3 linked regions of the Lepisosteus oculatus genome follow. The protein of the gene in region 2 interacts with the protein of the main gene of each other region in a biochemical or structural test. Links are inferred from orthologs where the notes say so. Each region holds a gene or a part of one and is shown on either strand. Other genes may lie near its edges. The genes, in order: ADP-ribosylation factor 4-like, rab11fip3 and arf6a.

Region 1 (6,956 bases), on a different chromosome or scaffold from region 2:
AACAGATGAACACCAAAATTTTAAGTACATCTTGGCCAGCGTCACAAAACACACAAAATGTTGGGAGATGAACCCTTCAGCAGAAACGACTGGATCCCGCCTTGATTTGAGAATGATTTTTTTCCACAATTTTCATCTGGCTCATTTTCTCACACATCCGTTAACCTTCCAGCGTGTCTTTGAACTGTGGGAGGAAACTGGAGTACCCAGCAAAAACCTACGTGAATATGGGGAGAACATACAAACTCCACACAGATAGCAACCCAGGTCTTGAACTGAGCCCAGGACCCCAGTCCTGCGAGGCAGTAATGCTGAACACTGTCACCCATCTATGGAGCAATTAGCTACAAACTACAAACGTCGTTAGATGGGTCAAATGGCCTCCTTTCATTGGTAACATTTCTTAAATTCTTACCATACTGAGATTATTGCATTAAAAAAGGGAGATGAGTTGAAGTTGAGTATTGCTGCAGCAGGTGGACATCAGGCCATGAGTGTCAACACTACGTATTTGCACACTGGCAAATAAACACAATAGGGAATCTTCAGAATCTGATGCAACGTGTTTTGGAGTCAGAAATACAGTATTATCCTTGCCATGAAGTTGCAGACGGAACCAGTTAATTTCCATACCGCTTCAAGGTGAAAAACTCTTACTTAACTTCATTTCTACACCATTATAGGAAGATAATCAAAAGCTGCCATCACGGCCCCCCTCACCAACTCTTGGTGTACTTTATCTTAAGCTACTGAATAGCACCTCAAGAGAAAAGCAACCCCAAAAACAGAAATCTATTTTACAAACTGGTCAAACAAAAAGCATTAGATTGAACTATGAACTCAAATGATTTTTGACTGGACACTTAAATCCCACGTATTTCCATTTTCTTCATTTTTTTTAGCTCATGTTGCTTAATTCCCATATTGGTGGATGGACATGCTCTATCCTGCTGAAGTTCTTTCTAAGGAAGCCTTTTATTCTGTTGTACAGTTCTACAGATCATTAGTGAAGTATTTCTGACTGTCTAGGCATAACCACTTAAAGGAACCTGAAAGATCCAACAAAAGGCACCAAAACTTTGATATAAAAAATGCAAAGTAGGGGTTAAACTACAATACATTTAACACGACACATTCTGACATTTATTTTTTAACTTTTAACTTTTTCATTAGCATTTACAGTACTTGTTGAGGTTTGCAACAGTTTAAAATGTCTGATGCTGTGCATTCTTAAAGCAGAGAAAAACATTCAGAAGAGACATTGTTTCATCTAGTTTGGTATTGGTAAGAAAGACATGAAGTAAACACAGGTGAAATGGAAGAGCCGTGAAAAGTAGTGCACGTTTTTGCACAAAAATGAAAACATTCAATTTAAACTTTGAAGTAGGAGTGACAGTTGAGGTTCCAGTTGTTTGTTCTTGTTTGACTGGAGCCTCAGTGATCAAGACAGCCCATCCTGCTGAGATTTCACGAGCAACAGCATCAGTGTGCAATGACAGCAAGATGTCATCACCAATGGTGAACAGTGGACACAAGTGCACACGCCAGGGTCATGACAGCCGTGCATTAATTCGAAGAGCAGGGCAAGACAAGCGAGCAACTGCATATTTCAGCCTGCGGCACAAGCTGCCAGTTTGATCCGAAACAATCCGCAGAGAACTCCGCAGAGTGGGATACCACTGTTGGTCTGAAGTGCACAAAGCACTCATCACATTGGGCAGTACATGTTTTAGAGCCCAGTGGTGCAAAGTGCACAAGCAATGGAATACTGAGCAGTAGAGAAATGTGATTCAGTCAGATTAAACATCTTTCACCATGTTCCTGACAAATGCTTGAGTGCACCTAAAGCCCAAAAGACTTAGTTTCAACGATGAAGGGTGCTGGGGGTTCCGTAATATGTAGGGAACATTTTCCTAGCGTGGTTTGGGTACACTTATTTACTTAAAAGGCAAATCCATGCTTATGGCTATTGTTCTGAATTGTTCTGAATTGTGTACCACTCCTCCATATTTGGAGCACTAGCTTTTCCTCAAGGTGAGTTTGTACTACAGTGCGATGACACTCAACACTTTTACCTACAAAAGAAAAAAAATGTTCTGCCTACTTATATGATGTTTTAATCACACAGCAACATACAATATTACATATAATGAAAATTCTAAATACTAAATAATTCTAAATAATAATCTCAGATTTATAACTGGCGACGGTATGACAAGACCATGGATAGCTCACTTTGGTGCTATACAGTATCTTTGCCAATGTTGCATCACTAAGTGTTCCTTTTACATCCTAAAAAAAGACGGACACAACACTGAAGGCCTAAATAGAGGACTCATATTCAGAATAAACAAGAAATGGAAGAAAATAATGTTTATGTTTTCGCCTTCGAGTTATAATTCCTAACAGTCCATAACCAGTTCCAGTATAGGTAACTTCCTAAAAACAAAACGTTACCATTTTCTAAAACGTGCAGTAACTACATTTAAAACGCACGGACACCGGATTTCTTGCATAATGCAGGAAAGGCATTTCCTAACTGCATTATTTCACAAAAAACCTTGCTAAACGAAATGGAGAAAAGGAATAGGCATTTCGATATCCATCACTATTGTTATCTCCACTCTTTCAACCTCAATGAGCAGCAATAGAATTAAATACCTCTCGTAGTGTTATCGTGACTTATTCGGTACTGTTATTAACAAATCGTGCCGTCCCCTTTGTCGCTCTGTACAGAATGTAACCACAGAGGCCCCATCTTTTCCTCCTCGTCTCTGGGGCAGCTCTAACAATACCCTCCCTCTGCCTCCGTATTGTCAATGCTTACCCATAAGTATCCTCATTTGTTTCTTGCCAAAAAGCTTGGAGAAAAGCGACGAGATAGTGAGGCCCATGTTGTGCGAGAGTACCCCCCCTTTAACACTTCGAGTGATGTCTACAGTTAGAAACAGAAATCGTTTAAACAGCCCCTATAGAAAATGGGAGTCTCTCTACTGCCTCCTCCTCTGATGCAGGTGCCACGTCCAGGCCAACGCGGAAGAAATTACGTCACCGCTTTCATGAAACTTTATTAGCAATCATAGGGTGTCTCATTTCCAAAACTGCTGTAATAAACCCAATCTGCCCCCAAACGATTCTGTGAGCAACGCTCAGAAAAATGTATGCTTTATTTTGGAATGTTTGGTAGATGTATGCAGCATAACACACATGCATTACCTTTGCAAGTACAGACGTAATCTGCTAAAATGGAAATGACATGTCACATTTTATCCGTCCATGAACACAAAGCCGCTTATTCCTGGCAATGGCCAGAATAACCCGGTGTCCTGTCCGAGAAGCATAAGGCACATACAGGAGCATGCCCCGGGCAGGACACTATATTTTAATATTTTCGTTAATATTGTACCTCGAACAACCTGCAGGGTCCGCCGTATGCGTTACAATATCAACACCCTGTAAAAGGTATTTACAACTAATGATCGCTGCATTATAATAAGATCTTTAAAATAAGACCCCGCGTTTTTCGTTTGTTCTGCTAATTCAATTTGAACATACATTTATCTCGTCTATTGTCTAGATATCTCAGGTTGTTAGTTAAAAAAAAACAGCCAGGAGATCAACCCGGTGGGGAGCAACAATTATTTTACGATACGTCGTAATTTTGTTTGTTTATTCTGAAACAAATATAAAGTAAAGAGACAAGCATACAAAATAATAAAACTCTTCTCTGAATGCTTCAATTTTTCACAGACTAATTATTTCCGACCTTACTAAGATGGCCCCCATAAATTTGTTGTAAAAACTTTATTGCTTAACAAATCCAATATACATGAAAACTCAGCCGTTACTAAAAGGACCCTTTCCAGGAAGTACGAGTTACGGACACGTAAGCTGTGTACAAGATAGCAAGCTTAAACGACTAATCGAGGACAGAGAGAAAAAAACAAGTACGTTTGCAGCTTTTTCATTAGTTCAAAATACGAAATGTAGAGTTAGTAGATGTTCTGTATTCGAGACATTTCTCCATGTGACTGTCAGCTTTGTTAGGCCTCCAGGAAAATTCCAGATATCACAACATTGCACTTTGTTTTTATTTTTTATTATTTATTCATAATGGAATTATTAACTTTATGGCAGCCGTTGCTGAAAGATGGAAACTAAAGCTGAGAATTACATCTTAAATTAGATATTCTTGAGTAGAGGTTTGCTTGCATAATTTTATTAACTCTTATTTTGAGTAGAACTGGTCTTTTTAGCCACTCAGAATGCTTTTTCCTTCAGTTTTTTTTCAGTGCACTGCTTTTTCCTTCAGTTTTTAAATCGGAGATTCTCTTGGTTAGCACATTACAGTTTGAAGTGAAAGAACGACATCTGAACTCGTTTCTATGCATATCTAGTTCTCCTTTGTTGCGAGAATTGAATGACAAATGCTCGGTTTTATACGGTGGTTTGCTGTGTTTTATTGCATATGCGAAATGATCATCCCCACCGTCTTTGTGCGTGTATTTGTTTCACGTTTATTTTTTTACTTAATTGTTACGGGGATTTCAAATTTCATGTTAAGTTTTTGTCTGATTCATTTTTCTTTTTATTTCATAGTGCCTCGGGACATGACGTGTATGATTGTTTAGCTGAAACCAGCAAACATGGAGAAGTTTGGAATGAATTTTGGGGGTGGCCCCAGTAAGAAGGAGCTGCTGGAAACTATAGAAAGTCTGAAAAAACAGCTGGTTCAGTACCAGACCCGTTTTAAAGACGTTGTCAGGGCTTACAAAAGCCTTCTGAAGGAAAAGGAAGCTTTGGAGGCAAGCTTGAAAGTTCTGACTGTATCCCAGGAAGCTGACTTGAGCTATTCGAATGCAACGCCTTCTGGGGCCTCTGGCCTGGAGCGGCGTTCTTCGGACCTTGGAGACGACAAGTGTTCGTTGCACAGCGAAGACAGCGCGGACACAGCGGCCAGTGTGGACACCGCTAACAGCGTGGCCAGCAGCAGCACCAAGGGAGAGGCGACCGAAGAAGAAAAGAGCCTTGGTGAGCACGGGCCGGCTGTGTCCGCTTTGCAAAGGGCTGAAGACAATAATGGCTCGGAGAGTGGCGTCAGCTCCAGCAGTGGGGAGCAGCAGGTGGCTGGGGAGGCTGACAGGAGAGTCCTGCAGCTGAAAGCCCAGCTGTCCACCCTGACCAGCTCCTTGGCCACTGTGACGCAGGAGAAGTCAAGGATGGAGGCCTCCTTCCAGGCGGACAAGAAGAAGGTGAAGCAGGACCTTGAGGATCTGTGCAAAAGCCTGGAGGAGGAGAGGAGTCATCATGAAGCGGAAGTGAGAAGCCTGCAGGAGCAGCTCGCGGAGGCCAAAGCCCGGGTCATCACCCAGCAACACGAGCGGGCACAGGAGCAAGGAGACCACGCGCTGATGCTCCGTGAGCTCCAGAAGCTGCTGCAGGAGGAGCGGGCCGCCAGGCAAGATGTAGAGCTTAAGCTGGAGGAGACCAGAGAAGCTCTGGTAGAGAAAATGACAACCGCCGACCGTGTGGGAGACTATGAAGCCCAGGTTAGGGTGCTTTCCACGGAGCTGGAGGAAATGAGGAAAACTCTCGAGGAGGCCGAGAGAGAGAAGTGCAAAGCCGACCCCCGCGTGGGAGAACTACAGCAGGAGATTGAAGATCTCAAAGCGCACTTCCAGCTACAAATCCAACAGGAGATGAGAAAGGTAATTTTGGTTCTCTTTCATACGGTATGTTCTTTAGCTCTTGTGAGTAGTTCATTCAGCAAAGAAGCTTGAAGAGAGTGGAGGCTGAGTATTGCAATCCAGGAGTCACAAGTTCGAACGTAGATGAGATTTCATAGGTTCCCCAAAAGGCAGCACAAAATCAGCTGAGCACTGCTGAAATTGATTTCCCCTGCCTGCTGCACAACAGCAAGCCTTAGAATCGACCAGGTGCTCGCGAGCCTGCGGTGGTTTCTGTGAGAGACGCACCATTGCTCCTGACACTGCTATCTCTCCTGTGAGGCACAGTGGAGCTCGCTGAGTGTTAAATGATTGACAGTGTGGCAGGTGTGCACGCGCATACAGTGCAGCCTGTAAGTATTTGGACAGTGTATTTGTTTTGGCTCTGTATTCTAGCACATTGGATTTGAAATAAAACAATATCCATGAGGTTAAAGTGCAGAATGTCAAGGTTAATTCGAGGGTATTTATGTCTATATTGGGTGAACGATATACACAGCCCTTTTTACACATAGTCCCCCCATTTCAGGGGACCAATAGTAATTGGACACATTAACATAATCTTAAATAAAATAGTCATGTTTAGTACTTGGTAGCAAATCCTTTGCAGTTGATGACTGCCTGAAGTCTGCGACCCATAGACATCACCAGACGCTGGGTATCTTCCCTGGTGATGCTCTGCCAGGCCTGTAATGCAGCCATTTTCAGGTCCTGCTTATTTCGGCGGCTTTTTAGCTTCAGTCTTGTCTTCAGTAAGTGAAGTGCATGCTCAGTGGGATTCAAGTCGGGTGATTGACCTGGCCAAGAAAGTTCCACTTTTTGGCCCTGAAAAACTCCACAGTTGCTTTAGCAGTATGTTTGGGGTTAAGGCTCTGCATGGCTTGGCACCTCAGTACCTGTCTGAACTATTATCGCCCTACTCTCCACCTCGCAACCTTCGCTCTTCTAATTCTGCTCTCCTTACTGTCCCCCAAGCCTGTCTACATTGTATGGGTGACAGGGCCTTCTCCTGGTATGCCCCCAAGCTCTGGAACTCTCTCCCCAAGGATATCAGAGAGTCACCTTCTCTAAACTCCTTCAAATCCAGACTCAAAACCCTCTGCTTCAGAAAAGCCTTTTCTTAACTGGTTCCATTCTTCACCCCTCTGCTCTTCTTAGTCCCACCATCCACGGTCTCCTCTATATTTTGTAATTGTGTTTTATCTTGGGTATCCTTCTTATTTATTGTTA
Region 2 (7,561 bases):
TCGGCCCTCTCGGGGGGGAATTACTGTCATTTTCACGGAAAAACGCAGAACTGGAAGAGAGATTTTAGACGTAAAAAAAAGAAATAGTGGGATGTCTCAAACTGCACGAAACTCAAGGCTTCGAGATTAAGGGAGGTCGTTACTTTTTTTGATCCTCTTGGAGAAAAAGGTGTAGGTTCCAGGTGAAAAAGGAAAATTGATTTGTGTGAAAGGGTTTAATACCCCACAAATTCAGCCTTTGTATCTTCAATACAACTGACTCTTCGAAACTCAGACATACAGTACTGCACTACAGCATCCCAGCAGTCAAACTGACTTTATTGGTTTAAGTATGGTAAACGTAAAGTCAATGACGTTTGCTACCTCACTTCTCTTTGACAACCCTGTTACGGAACACCGTAATCTTGTTTCAGAACAAAGGGAGTTTATCTGAAACCATACACAGGATTCCCTGCACTCCAGTGTCTTAAATGGTTCCACTGTGCAGGAGCACCAAGAGAGATCCATCTCTACCCCCACTTGAACAACTCATCTCCCATTAAAAAAAAAAAATCTGATAGCACGATCTCGGTCATTCCAGTGCAGGATGCACATGGCCCAAGCCGAAACCTGTAGGCAGGGAACCCCAGTCTCCAGTTTACTGGATGTAGAAAACCCAGCTCCAGAAAGGAAACTGTACAGTTAAAAACCTTTAAGCTGAGCTTGCAAGCACCAAAGCGCTTGACAATAGCACATATGGCTTTGTACTGTTAAGACCTCAGCAGACTGCACTGAAGGCAGTACAATTGGACTGGTAGAACTGATTGAGCATGATGACTCATTGCAAACCCAAGCAGATACAACTTCAAAACATTATCTGGTTTGTCCTGGGACACCACATGTGATTAGTTTTAGTGTGTAGCCCAGTAGCCCACTGTGAGGCCTGAGCCACATTGACACAGACCTGTCCAGTCAGCTCCGACTGGGCAACCTGTCAGTGTCGTAAGAAAGATGACAAACAAGATCAGGGCATCCGGCCCCCCTAGTCTGCGCAGCACCGCGGGGTCATTTTACTGGGGGGTACAGGGGAGCAGCCCCGTGGAAACAGGGAGAGAGCAGCCCTTAGCAATCTCACAGTCTGAGCTCCTGCTGTCCTGCACATGGGGCTCATCTTAAGATACCCCACCACGAGCCACTGTTTCAAACTTCTGATCACCCTCGGCAGGCTCTGTGCATTTAAACAGCTCTTGAGCTTTTGAACTTGCTTTCACAAAAAGCCATTTCTAAGGTTTATTACTAGAAGTAGAGCAATAAATCCCCTCCCTGTAGTTCAAGGGGTTTCAGACATGCTGCTTCCACCATTAAACACCCTGCCCCGAGACTCTGCATACAATTGCATGCTGAGAAACACAGATTCCCTTTTTGTTGAATGTTTCTTTTTTGGCTTACAAAGCCTAGTTTCCAAACTAGGTCGGGAAAACAACCTCCGAGAAATGCCAATATTGAGAGCTCAACGATTCATTCCCGGAGCGAGAGAAAGTTGTCGGAGCACAGGACAACTGCATCAATAAAGACCGTCTTACCTGCTCAGCACCATAGACTGTGGCGAACTGCACAAACTCCTCCATCCGCACAAAGCCATCCCGATCCTGGTCCAGAGCGTCAAACACCGCTCTCAGAGGGGACACGTCCTCCGCCCGCGGGCTGTCCTCCCGGTAAGAAACGCTGCCCCCTGCAGGCAGGGAGGGAGAGAGCTCCACGTCCAATACCGAAAACTCTTCCGCGGGCTGACTGCTAGTCCGCAACAAGAGGGGGCCGGACACAAGGGATTCCTCGGCGGGATCGTGAAGACCGTTCTGTTCGAGGTCAATTATATCCTTGGGAGCACCCAGGTCCGCCTCCGACTCTGTACTCTTCCCACCCTGAGCCAAAACTGGAGATCCGCACAATACTCCCTCGGTGAGCTGTGGTTCCAAAATGTCTTTCTCCTGCATTGCAACGGCAGGTAAACATGGGTCCGAAACCACATCTTTGTGCTCTTGACCACAAGATCCTGAACCCTGACCCGAGCCCAGCTGGCCGGGCACTAAATCCCTTGATGACTTCCAATCCGAGGCCGGGTCATTATCCGGGCCGTCGGAGTCCGACACAGCTCCAGATACAGGCGACGGTGGGCGACCAGCTGGTTCTGAAGACTGAGAGGGTAGTGCAGGCTGTGGAAACACCCAGTTCCCCGGGTCTTCCCGGGAGGAAGAGGCAGTTAAAGTCTCCGCTGAGGCATCCTGCTCTGGGGTCCCAGCAGGCAGACTCGGGCTCACAGTTTCGCTCCGCAGAACATGATCCACAGGGCTGGGGCAGCTCTCGTGATCAGGGCCTGAAAGGCCTGCACTTCCCTGTGATCCACTGCACCCTGACTGCGAGGGGGGGCTCTCGCAGCCCTCAGGTAAGCCCTCCGGCAGCTCGTGACTCAATGCGGGCAGATCCATCTCCGGCTCTTGGAAGGAACTTCTGCCCTCGGTTTCAGGTAACAGCGCGTCCTCCGGTGACGAGGACTCAGAGCCGTCGTCGTCTTGCGACAGCGGAGGCGGCTCCCTGCCGCCATCCACCAGATCTAGCCGGCGGGGCTGAAAGGGGCTGGACTCTGGAGAGAAATCCGGCTCGGAGTTCAAAGCGCCGATTCCCCTCACCGCTAAAGCAGGACTGCCACTGAAACCAGTGTGATCCGTGGCGGGGCTGCCCTGGAAGCTGACCAGCTCCACTGCCCGGTTGTGGTTAAAATCCGTGCCCTGCCTGGGATTTTTTTCCCACTGCAGTACAGTGCAGTCACGGCCTTTCTCCCAGGACAAGATCTGGTCCACACTAGGATACCCTGAGCTCCTAAGAAGGTCATCTAGATTTAAGGCATTCTCCTGAAGGATCTCATCCAGATTCAGGGACACCAGTTTCTCCTCCCCTGCTCTGTAATCCAACCCCGGCTCCGGACTCTCTTTGCTCCCCTTGGACAAACTAACTCCCTTGTCCGGCTCCAGTAAGAGAAATCCCAGCGACTGTTTCTGCTCCAGCTCCCAGTCGGAACGCCCAGCCGGGCTAGACAGCAGCACTTGCTCCATTGAAGCGCTTTTTAAACACTACCTGAAAATCCTAAAGGCAAGACAAGCAGCCCTAAGAACTGAAACAAAGGCAGAAAAAAACAAAAACAAGAATCCGGAAAGAATTCGCAAAGGTTTCCCTTGCGGACGACCAAAAGCAAGCCAGCGGCTTATTGTTCAACACAAGCACACCCTTCAGCAGATCCAAAGGCATCTCAGAGATACAGTAAGTAAACACTTTTAAATCCACGGACCGGCGTGTTAGTAAGGCATTAGTACCAACACCAACACCTGCAGGGCTGAGCTCTTGCAGCCACTGTCCCTATGTCCACTCCGCTGCCTGAACTGCAACCTTCACAAGCACGGCCATTCTTGGCAGACGGGGGATATTTATTGCTAGGTTTCATTCACCCACTTTCCTCTGAAACAACTCATTTTTTCCCCCCAGCACGAAGCGCTGTGGGTCTTTCCTCGGTAGGACCTGTTAGGTTTCTGCCTGCTCCCCAAAAAAATTCCGGGCTGGAAAAATGTCGGTTGTATCTCCGTTTTGAAATGGTCTGCGGGCCGCTCTTGGGGGAGAAAGAAAAAAAAAAAGAAGAAGCGTTTTCCGACGAGGTGAAGTTAATTCCGTCCAGGCCCCGCGTTCGCCTCCTTCCCAAAAAAAGGCTCTTTTCTTCCCCCGGCTCGTTTCATACTCCTCCTCGGGCCCTCGTTTCCCCTCGGCGTTTTCACTCGGCCAAACCTTCACAACTGCAGCAGGGGAAAAAAAAAACAAGAGGAAAAAAAATAGGGGTGAACAGAGAGCGTGAAACACCGCCGGTGTGTGTGTGTCTGTCGGGTTGGGTATAAATATTTGATGGATGTTGTAAAACTGTTCCTCGCAGTTGCTAGGCACCGCTGTAACCCGACGGGACGGCGAATCTCCCCTCCCCTCCAGCGGAGCTCGGCGCTTCGCGTTAGCCCAAGTTATTTCTCGCGTTTTGAACTGATTCGCCTCGTCGTTTCATTCGGCTTTCACAACCAGATCCTCAGCGGCTCCCCGAAACGCGACCGCCGGGGCAGCGCAGCGCCGCGCCGCGTCTGTCCTCCCCCGAAGGCGCCTGCCGGTAGGGGGGCTGTGAAACAAGATTTTCCGTTAGCGTCTCCCCGGTGAAAGAGCATCCCTCACTCGCCCGTCTCGGCGACGACTCTCACGGAAAGCCGGCTCCTTCTCGCGTCCCACCCCCCCCCCACCGAGCTCGGCTGGTTTCCTGCGAGAGCTGGTACACGTCCTTCAGCCTGATCCAGGTTTTCCAGCCCCGGATCCCCCTCTCCGTGCGGGGGGGAAAAAGAAATGCGTGAACCCCCCCCCACCCCTCTCCACTCAGGCTCGTTTCTCAAGGCTCATCCACCTGCGTGGGCTGGCGGAGCCCCCTTTTTCTGCCCTCACCTCCGTCCTTCGGTCACCCCTGAAAATGACCCGCTTTCAAGGCCATCGAAGCGCTCCTCAGTTCAGATACGCAGGTGTTTCCATTAGGTACCGCCGGTGACTGATGGCTCCGTGGACTGCCGTCCGTCTCTCTCTCTCTCGCATCAGCAACTGCTCCGCCATCGCCAGCCGCATACAGCACTGACGTCACCGCCCCCACAGCGCGCAGGCGCAGCGAGCACGCCGCAGTCTGTCGACTCAAAAGCGCCCCGGCCCCTACAGTCCATCTCTTAAAGGAAAGGTGTGCGTGGATGTGTGTCTAGTGAGGTATAGACACAGTGGCAAGCATGGGGCAGCGCAGCCCAGGATATACCCAAAGCTGGGCAGATTAGGTAGTTGTCTTTAACTTACTTAAAAGGTTTGACAAAACCGCAACCACCGTGGGTACGAAACTGAGCACGCACTGCGAGGCAGTAATCACTCACGTTATTGTCCACGCCGATCGATCAGTGATTGGCAGCTCCTCGCATTGCGTTTGTCGCCTTGTTTTCAAGCTCATTAAGGCTGAGGTTTCAAAGAAACCAGAAAAGAAGTGTTACGCTGTCAGCCAGTGGGACGTCACTGACCTATGTGGTAGTACAGGTTCCAGGTTATCGCTCACACGGCTTCTACTAAAACAAAAAAAAGGAAAAAAAAACATATTTCCTTCATTCTGAAATCCCCTTGCCAGACCACAGGTAGAGAAATCCGACACTTTTTAGCACAGTACTTATATCAGGTAACAGTGTAAATGCATCATACAGTAGTTTCGAACGACCCTTGTTCGCGAGTGTGCGTGGATGCAGGACAGTGGGTTGAGATTTCACAGCCCCGGCAAGGATCAGATCTCCTGTCGCCTCGGGGAGTGTTCGCAAGTCCAGTTGTACCTCTGGGCGAAACGATGACTTCACTGGCCCTTCAGAGTCATGTATTTCCCATGGCTTTTTCGGGGTTCCTGGCATGGGGTCTTACGAAAGGGACGTTTCTTAGCATACCATACTAAAATGTACAAAAATAACGTCCACGGACAGCTGATTTCTTCAGGTCCTGCGTCTGAATAAAACAATCACCTTCAAATCTGGCGAAGCTCAAGCAATATGTTGGCTACACCACTTAAAAATAATCAAATACAATCGATCAATAGGAATTACAACACCGCACTATTGCTTCAGTGAGCTGAAAGAGCGTTTTAATTAACATCTACTGTTTCGCACGCACTATGGCCAGCTAACCCACACTGTGCAAACGCCGAGTTTCCCTGCTCTTTCTCCCTCTTGTGGTTGTGAAAATACTTCCGGGTTTTTTTTTGTTGGTAGTACAGGACAACCACGAAAGCCATATGGACGAACTCTTGTGAATCCTGACTTCGATGAATAATAATAATAAACTTTATTTTATATAGCGCCTTTAAAGGTGGCTTCTCAAAGCGCTTTACAGGATGACAACAACAATAAATAAGACGAATACACAAGATAAATACACAGAGGAGACTGTGGATGGTGGTACTAAGTAAAGTAGGAGAAGAGGGGTAAAGAATGGAACCAGTTCAGTAAAGGCTCTTAAATTACAATATATAGAGGAGGAATGACCGCAAGAGTCACAGGTCCCAAGATTCCTAACACAGCAGGGTCCGCATACGGATTAATAGCATCAAAAGCTAGTTTTTTTTTCTCGTCGAAATTAAAGGAATATTTTAGGGACATCTTTATCACTTCTTAGCTCAGGTAAAAAGCAATCCCTAAACCCAGTTTAAGACAAGAACAAAAAATTAACATTATAAAAAGAGTTCAACATGACCCTCCTGCCCCGGAGACAGCATCCCATTCAGATTTTCATCGCTCACGTTTAAAAGCACCTCTTGTGTACTTTTACAGCAATGACTTCTTTTTATTTTAAAACATCGTGGCAAATATATACGGCCTACAAACGGGGAAGCTAATTTCCGTGGTGCAAACTACAAGTATATTGACCCCCCAACAAAACTAGGGAAAAGTCCCAAAACAAATATTAAGAATTCGAGTCACTCACATGGACGTTTTTGTGCAATTCTATTTCAACTTAAATGAGTGTTTAAAAAGTAGCCCTTACCTGCGTCTGCTTTACCTGAAACATTTCCATTCTGTACAGACAAAGAGTCGCTAACACTCCCAGAAGGTTTAACTAGAAGTATCTACAACTCTTTATCTGCTAGCTAAATCTTTGATATCGGCAACCTGTGAGATCACAGGTCGGGGGTCTGAGCAAACTTCCGTTAGCCTTTCCCCTGTACTAATGAGATTCTCCACAGGCAGCGGTACTGGGTCCACAGATTCAACGAGATTCAGACGAACAAAGATGATCGCATTTTTTAGTTATTTATTGAACTAAATTTACGTACTCTTCCCAAAAGCAGCTCTTAGTGATTATATGATGTATTATATTATACGTTTATAGACGCAGTGAAAGCTCTAAACCTTACTAGAGATAATCTTGACCCTACCACGGAAAAAAACGGAAAGATACATTTCTGTTGTAAAAACGTTTGCTGAGACGTTTCACGAACGCAATATAAAAGCAGTATGACGCCGTATAAATATGAATTCCTGTCTTCAACCAGCCTCTGCTTCAGTGTTTGAATATGCAAAACACTGACGTCACTTTGAGAAAACGGGATTATTGGTATTTCATTCAAAACAGGACAAAGAAACTCCAAAAAGCTCCAGGAAGCATCGGTTTACCGAAACCCGTTCAATGTAGTCCAACGAGAATTACTTCTTCACGCATCGAAGGGAAATGTTGGTTACTTCATGTAAAATGATAAATTCCCAAGTTACGCTTTCTTTCTCTAATCAGTTTTTAATCATTATGCTTAGAACATAATTTATTGATTTGAATTTGCCTACCCAGTGTTCAGGACTTCTGAAAAAAAAGGACAAAGACCTGGTTTCATTACTAACAGCACAAGTACTGCCCATCCATTTTTAAACAGTTCTATCCAGGACAGGGTCACAGGTGGACACTGGATTCTATCCCAGCAAGAACCAGGTCCAGGATACACCCCGGACAG
Region 3 (8,019 bases), on a different chromosome or scaffold from region 2:
AGACTGAATGCAGCCTGCACCTCTGGCTCTGTGAGGAACCCTGCAGTTCGCCCAGACAAGAGGCCCCGTCCCATCCTCCCAGCCCTCGAGGCAGCTCCAACGGCTTGTGAGAGAGCCGGGAGAAAGGAAACGCAGACAGAGAGGGCCAAGGCTGTAGCTGAGCCAGTGCAGCAGGGCTCCAGGTTGGCAGGAGACAGGCAAAGGATGCACCAGGGGCAGGCGAGCCAAGAGGAGCAGACAGATAAAATGGAGGTGGCCTGGGGGAAGACTTTAAGATCACGCGGCCTCAGCCAGCCTGGGTGGGCCACCCTCTCCTTCGAGGACATCAGACGAAGGCACAGGGTGATGATCCAGACACAGGATCCTTTCCGGAAGTGGAGGCATTTCCTGCTGTCAGCAGCCGGGTCCCAAGCCCATGGACACCTGCCATGTGCGCCGTGCCAGAGCCTCATGGGAACTCTGCCCAGGGCTGCACCTGGGCCCAGACCAGAGCATGCTGGGAACCTCAGATATCCCTGGAAACACTCCACAGCACACGGAGCATTGCAGGCTGGGATCTCTGGGTCAGACCTATGAGCAGAAAACCGCTTGGTCAGGGGACATCAGCTTCTCATGGGTGTGATCTCTTGGAAGATTCAAGCCCGGTAATTAGTTCCAAGTCAAAAGCTGTCCGCTAACACTTATTTCTGTGTGTGTTCACCCCATTTTATTATCTGGCTTTCATTATAATAATAATAATTGCTTACACTTATATAGCGCTTTTCTGGACACTCCACTCAAAGCGCTTTACAGGTAATGGGGACTCCCCTCCACCACCACCAATGTGCAGCCCCACCTGGATGCCATAGTGCGCCAGAACACTCACCACACATCAGCTATCAGTGGGGAGGAGAGCAGAGTAATGTAGCCAGTTCATAGAGGGGGATTATGAGGAAGCCATGATTGGTAAGGGCCAATGGGAAATTTGGCCAGGACGCTGGGGTTACACCCCTACTTTTTTCGAGAAACGCCCTGGGATTTTTAATGACCACAGAGAGTCAGGACCTCGGTTTTACGTCTCATCTGAAGGACGGCACCTGTTTTACAGTATAGTGTCCCCGTCACTATACTGGGGCATTAGGACCCACATGGACCACAGGGTGAGTGCCCCCTGCTGGCCCCACTAACACCTCTTCCAGCAGCAACCTTAGTTTTTCCCAGGAGGTCTCCCCTCCAGGTACTGACCAGGCTCACACCTGCTTAGGTTCAGTGGGTTGCCAGTTGTGAGTTGCAGGGTGATATGGCTGCTGGCATATCATTGACAGTCATTATCTTATATTGTTAATTGATGTGTGGTTTAAATCTAATTCTTGAAAGGTGATGGCAGTAATCCCAAACACAAGGGGGCTTACCTCTTACAGAATGGTTCCGATATATAGAAACTGTAATTGATGTGCTTAGCCTGATTACAGATATTTGCTCAGATATTTAAGCAATAAATGGCAGTTTAGGAAAACTACGTTTTGTTTTTGTGTGATTATTCATTCTTAGTAAAAAAATCCTTTATTTAGTATTCACAGTATTTCACTACTGCACAGACAGAGCGTCCGAAACTAGGTAGGTTGATGGGTCTTTCGGATTTTCCAAGGTCTCTTATCTTGTGAAATGAACAATTCCTTGCGATGTCCACTTTACTCCACAAGGGGGCGCTATATCTCCGAAATGTATGCCAGACGCATCACAGTCCAATTGCCCAGAGAAGTTACACACGTCACTTGGCAAAAATGGCACATTTATGTCAGGTCTGGAAAGCTTCATTGAATGATTTTGAGAATAAAGAACCACTTCTTTAGACGACATTGTTTCAACGTACTTAATGCCATATCAGATTTAAAAGTGGTGGACAACTGTGCAGTCTTTGCAAGAGGCAAAACGATTGATTGTCTTGTGTGAGGGAAACAAAGGCCTTCTGTGGGCAGTTTGAGAAAAAAAACGAAACCAGGCTGCAAACAGATTGAGGAGAGCCGCGTGACCCCAGTGGTTTGACTACTGCAGGGGTCCAGGGCTCGATCCTTATGTTCTGGCTCGGGTGCTTCTCTATTCTGCTCCCTGAACTGGTCCTGGAAAAGCACGTGCACACACAGAGACCGAATACAATATAATGAAGTCCATCGAAAACACAAAAACACCTGTGGCCTAAATAAGAAATTTCCATGGCACTGTATTTGTCTTTCAAATTTGGTGACATTAAACAGAAATATGTTTCAATTCTCCTTTACTTTCAGTGTTTTCTGTTGCCCGAGTGTGAGATGCATGGCAGGCCTTGTGTTTGTTTTTAAAAATAATTATCTCAGTGGAAAGAAAGTCTAAGAAAGTGGAAAGAAAGACTAGTCTAGCTAAACGTCAGAGTGACTGCCTGAGTCATGCTGGCCTGCAGCACGGATTGGAAACTGTGAGTGGAAGTGATTGGATTCTGGAAATTAAGCAGCAAGCTGGAAAGGCATCAGGATTGACAGCTAGCGCCAATGTTCCTCAGGAACAGAGGACGGGGCACTTCCTGGCAAACAGCGCTCTGTCCACCTTTGGTACGTTCAAGGGACAATCCACTGCTGAAGACCAATGGAAACACAAAACAAGAGAGAAGAGCCTGGTGAGAAATGTTCTGGATATTCTGTACATTGAAGTAGTTCGAGTAGGGGGCTGTGTCAGCATGCGTAGGCTGCAAAGGAACAGGTAACGGGTTTATTCCCTGCTGGAAAGAGAAGAAAAACACAACGTTTCGGCTGTGGAGCCTTCTTCGGGTGTGAGAAAGACAGGGTAGACGGCAAAGATTAAAAAGCACAGGAGAACACAGGCTGGAAAAGTGGAGGAGGAGGGAGAGGGGAGAGGCAGAGAGGCCACTCAGGAGGTGCAAAGTGGAGAGGGGTGGAGAATGGTGTGAATAGAGAAGATAACACGAAAATAAGTGTATGAGCAGAAAACGGTGCAATTTAATACCTGACACTCCTTCAGATAACCAAAATCAGCGGTTCGTGGGGTATCATCACAGCCCTTTATTTTATTCACCGCCTGGAGTAAACAGAAATACCAGCCAGAGGACGCAGGTGGAAACTAGGTAACAGTGTCTTTAAAACCCCAAAACAGGAGGTGTTTCTTTACCAAGCCACACTGGTGAAGCCAATACCTTGACTCCTTTCACGAAAACAGCTGGACGAGATCCTGGGATCAATTAACGATCAACTACCAAATGAGCAAAATGGACCGATTGTGGTTTGCAATCCATTCTCAAGCTCAAACCATAATTCAGTCCATCAGATCCATGATTCTGCAGTTAGAAACTTGCCTTTGCGTGGTATTGTGCTCTGATGACATTTCTGTCCCATTCCTGCTTTGTGTTTGGAGTCAGCAGCTTATTTCGCACCTAGACATCCGTGTCAGGATGTGACAGGTTTCCTGCAACATCGCACACGCGTAAAAGAATGACCGCGCACAGGGACGAGCCTCCGCAGCTCATGAAAGACCTGAAGCGCACAATAGCGCACGTCAGCCACATTTTCACTGTCTAACGCTGGAAAGCTGTAAAGACTCGCCCTCGTCATACCCAGCACTGCTTGCATTGATCTCCACAATCGTTTATGTTATGTCGCGATATTTTACACGAGTGCTGTCGTTTAGCGTGAAACGGAAGAGGTTCAGATTGCGCCCAGCGAAACAAAAGGTGTCTGAATGTGAAGACGAGGGTGTGGCGGCCGGTTAATAGGAAATAAGCGCTGTGTGGTAAAGGCGTTTCAACTCATTGATGGTCTGTGGAAACGCCTCAGTACTGCGAAGCTCTTCGGTCTCCTCATTTCCTCATAAATTAAAGCCATTTTTTAATAAAAAACGTAGCCGGTGTCTGTCCTCTACATAAACTTAAGACACATTTGAAACGCTTGTTTTTTTATGAAACGTAAACAGTTGGTGCTTTATATTTATATGTTCAAGAAACTATGGAACGTATAGAAGCCCTTAATTCGCTAAATATTACTATTACCTTAGGGCCATTTCAGACTTCCTGTTAAGTTATACATACTGTATATACACTGTATTACGTTATTCTAAAACGTAATACTGCTTGTCTTCACTCCTTTTTATGGAAACTTTAAGAACCATTTATTGCTGAGCACAGTTGTTCCGGGGTTTGGCGTTTGTAGACTCAAACATGAAAACATTACATTTTGAAAAGGACGCTTGAAACACGGTGAAGTATTTTTCCCCCCTACACTCTGTAGTTGTGTGTCATGGTATACGTTCAATTCGGTAGATCTATCCGCAGTTTTAATTCACCCACCACCCAAGCAAAATAAAGCGAAGTCGTGAATGTAGACATTTGTAAATGCAGGTCTTAGAAACTACTATTGCAACGAGTGCGCGGAAAATGGGCTGGTAACAGAACAGAGCTGGGGCTTTCTTAAAAAGGCTGCTTAGGTGGAGTTGGCCCTAAAATAATCAAGGTAAGGATTATAGCTTTAGCGGTGCAGTATTGCGACACAGGCATACGTGTAATTAATAGCTCTCACTTTTATCAGGATGAAGACAGGAAGGGGTTATTTTAGACAAGCCCCCCTTTCGGTAGCTAAAAGTGTTTCCAGAGCCAAGTTAAAATAACATACAAACCCCCCCTCCGAAGCGCGATTCAAACACCGGGCGGAAGAGACTTCACCTCCCTTCCACGCTCTCGCACGAACTATTTTTACACGGGGGGTGATAATATAGCGAGGGGGCGGTGTCCCTGTCAGCACGCACGGGCAGCGCCCTCCCTCGAGAGTAGCCGAGCCCCCTGTCAGTTAAGCGTGCAGCTCGTGGCCTGTCTGCGGCATTATTTGAAATCCCTCACAGTACCCACTGAGTGACGCCTACGTCATAACGCACCACCTCTTTCTTTTTTCACATTTGAGCGCTGGCTGTCGACTCACACCCTCGTCCACCGAGCGCCTCTCCTTTACTGCCGCCAAAGGCAATAACCCCCTTCGTTGCGTTTTTTCATTCAAGAGAATCGTTGCACATGAAAGATCCGGTTGGGGGGTGACACATCCCGAAACTGCGCTGGCGGGCGGCCGCCATCTTGGCTCCCGCTGCCGTGCGCCGCAATGAGGGACGCCGAGCACGCGTTTGGAGCCCCAATGGCGTCAGTTTCCTGAGCCTCTGAGCCCCGTCAAAGGCGGTGCGTGGTAACTACTCTGCGCATGCCAATGGGCGGAAATGGGGAAAAAAAAGTGCCTGAAAGTAAGCGAGCGAGAGGAAGTGGCGGGTGATCGGGTCCGCACCTTTTCCGGTAGCCGAGAGCCGCTCGGAGCTGAGAGAGAGAGAGGCGAGAGCGGGGTGGATCAATCCGGGGATCGGGGGGCCGCAGAGCAGGTAACAAAAAAGACGCCAGACACCGGCGGGACCGGCTGAGAGAACCGCGTCTCAGAAATGCCGGCGCCGCTTTTGTTCAGCATTGAGCGGAAAACGTAACCACGCTAGCGGCGGCTGCGCTTAAAGTTGTGTTTTTTTTCCCCTCCCCTGACACCCCTCCCTTTTCTCAACCGCTCTTGTGTTACAGGGAGAAGAGAAGAGGAAGCTCTCGAATGAATCAATGACCTTTGGAGTCGCCTCGGCTCAGGCTCTTCCGTCTCCGACAGAAGTGTGGCGGACCCGGGCGGACCAGGCTGAAGCGCGGAGCCGGTGAAATTGCGAGCTGCCCACCCGGTTCAGAAAGGAGGGGAGGCGGCGGCGGCGGAGGAGAAGGAGGAGGAGGAGGAGGGGAGAGAGAGAGAAACGGGCGAGCGGAGACCTCGACACGGGCACGCCAGGAGGAAGTCTGTGAACTAGCTCCCGCAGGCTTCTGCGAAGGCCTGCTCGGGCAGCCGCGCCGATCCTCAGCCAGCTCACTTCTGGAAGTTGAGAGAGGGGCCGGGAGAGCAACACCCACCCCCCCCAGCCGGACCCGTCTGTGTTGTAGGCCCTCGCCTTAGAGAGGAAGAAGGCAAGCCGAGGGACTGGAGAACCGCATTACACGGACCCGTAAGTGGATCCCGGTGTGCTCTTGATGTGGACTTGAAATAACCGGCCTCCCCACACCCTCTTTGTCAACCTCTTTCCGGCACCTGGATTCCTCGCCACTCCCGGTGTCTTTTAACTGTGACCTCGGCCTCCCTTTTGGCGTCCCGGCTCGGTTCAAGGCAAAACCTTTTACTGACTGAAAGGGATATCTGACAGCCCGGGAGGAGGGGGGACGGACCGACCGACGGGACAGCTTTGTTGTTATGGATTCTTTTCGGATGTTGTCTAGAAGTTGCACAGCCGGCTTTTAGTGTTGGGGGAGCAGTAATCTCGCACGGACGGATTGCCGCTTTGCAGAGACACCGTCTGCGTCTACAGCCCAGCGATTGAATGGTTTCTAACTTCAGCCTGTCCTGATGTACTGTCCTTTGCTCCCCACCGGATATTGACCAGTGCGTGACCAGTTGGCTGCTTGGGCTGAAAGTCGGGAACTGTTCGGTAAAAAGAAATACAAAATCAGAACATCTTATTTATTAGGTCTCAAGTGCACAACGGGGGTCCAGGTGACTTATTGAATTTCTCAGAGGAACTGGATATTTATGCGCTGTTTACACGATGGGGAAGATGCTATCCAAGATATTTGGCAACAAGGAGATGAGAATATTGATGCTTGGACTTGACGCCGCGGGGAAGACCACCATACTTTACAAACTGAAACTGGGGCAGTCCGTCACCACCATCCCCACCGTAGGCTTTAACGTGGAAACCGTGACCTACAAGAACGTGAAATTCAACGTGTGGGACGTCGGGGGACAGGACAAGATTCGCCCCCTGTGGAGGCACTACTACACGGGCACGCAGGGGTTAATCTTCGTGGTGGACTGTGCGGACAGAGACCGCATAGACGAGGCCAGGCAAGAGCTCCACCGCATCATTAATGACCGGGAGATGAGGGACGCCATTATCTTGATTTTTGCCAATAAGCAAGACCTGCCTGATGCCATGAAGCCGCATGAGATCCAGGAGAAACTGGGCTTAACCCGCATCCGAGATAGGAATTGGTATGTGCAGCCGTCCTGCGCGACTACAGGTGACGGACTGTACGAGGGGCTGACTTGGCTAACTTCTAATTACAAATCTTAATGGTCGAATGATGACTGGTTAGAACAAGCAAAAAAAATAAAATAATACAAAATTTACACGAGAAGAAGCAATTAACAAATAACATGGCTTCTCGGAAGAATATAATAAAAAAGTTTGATTATAATTCATTTTCTTTTGATTATTATATGACCCCCGTATAACTAATCATTTTTTTTCTTAAAGTAATTATTTGGCTGGCTTTAATTTTGCTTTTGCGCTGTCCTTGGATCACGTTCTTTATTGATTACCGTGACTCAAGAAATACTCCCGTGAGAGACTTTTTAAAAGAAAAAGCAGACTACATGAATTGCCTCAAGCTCTTGAATTTTCTTAGTTTTATTGTATTATTTCCTTTGGCGGGGCGGGGATTTTTTTTTTCTGTTTTACTTCTCATTTTTGCCTCTCTGAACCTGCTTGATGTAGACTTTGCTTCTTTTACATTCATACCGAACATGTGTGCGATGTTCAGGCCTGAAGTTTCTAATAGTAAATATATATAAAAATTGTTTGAAAAAAAAAACAATACGGCGTGTCTCTAAATTTTATACTGTTTCTTTGAGAAGGAATTAAGCCCAGAGCTTACAGATTTAAGATTGCCGAGAGAGCCACCAGGTGTTTAGCAGCACCGTTCTGTTACAACTATGTGAAGTATTACTGTAGGTATAGATGCTGAACGAGGTACAAGTATACTACAGCAAAGTGCTCAAAACACTTCTATATATATGTATTCCTTTGTAAATGAGCGTCCCAAGCATTGGTGACCTGCAATGCTGTTTTGAAGGACCCCCCCGCCGCACACGGGTTTTAAAAGTCAGGCTTGAAGTTGTTACCACGGGTAACTAGGTTGGGCCGGAAGCCCCCCTCCGTGACGGA

Evidence for each region.
Region 1: the proteins of rab11fip3 (region 2) and ADP-ribosylation factor 4-like form a complex in vitro, tested with the Homo sapiens proteins (2 studies listed by BioGRID). The link is inferred for Lepisosteus oculatus from reciprocal best matches to the Homo sapiens genes RAB11FIP3 and ARF5.
Region 3: the proteins of rab11fip3 (region 2) and arf6a form a complex in vitro, tested with the Homo sapiens proteins (2 studies listed by BioGRID). The link is inferred for Lepisosteus oculatus from reciprocal best matches to the Homo sapiens genes RAB11FIP3 and ARF6.

Annotation. Positions count from the first base shown.
Region 1 is NC_090702.1:13,128,446-13,135,401, reverse strand, and holds the start of ADP-ribosylation factor 4-like, read right to left. Parts: upstream 3,036-6,956; 5' UTR 2,895-3,035; coding exon 2,828-2,894; intron 1-2,827. Other genes in the region: gcc1 (GRIP and coiled-coil domain-containing protein 1), read left to right, coding at 4,647-5,708.
Region 2 is NC_090714.1:6,565,514-6,573,074, forward strand, and holds the start of rab11fip3 (rab11 family-interacting protein 3), read right to left. Parts: upstream 3,090-7,561; coding exon 1,563-3,089; intron 1-1,562. UniProt on the Homo sapiens protein: Downstream effector molecule for Rab11 GTPase which is involved in endocytic trafficking, cytokinesis and intracellular ciliogenesis by participating in membrane delivery. Recruited by Rab11 to endosomes where it links Rab11 to dynein motor complex.
Region 3 is NC_090703.1:10,289,660-10,297,678, reverse strand, and holds the start of arf6a (ADP-ribosylation factor 6a), read left to right. Parts: upstream 1-4,930; 5' UTR 4,931-5,376; intron 5,377-5,563; 5' UTR 5,564-6,618; coding exon 6,619-7,146; 3' UTR 7,147-8,019. UniProt on the Homo sapiens protein: GTP-binding protein involved in protein trafficking that regulates endocytic recycling and cytoskeleton remodeling. GTP-bound form plays an important role in the transport of multiple palmitoylated proteins form the Golgi to the plasma membrane.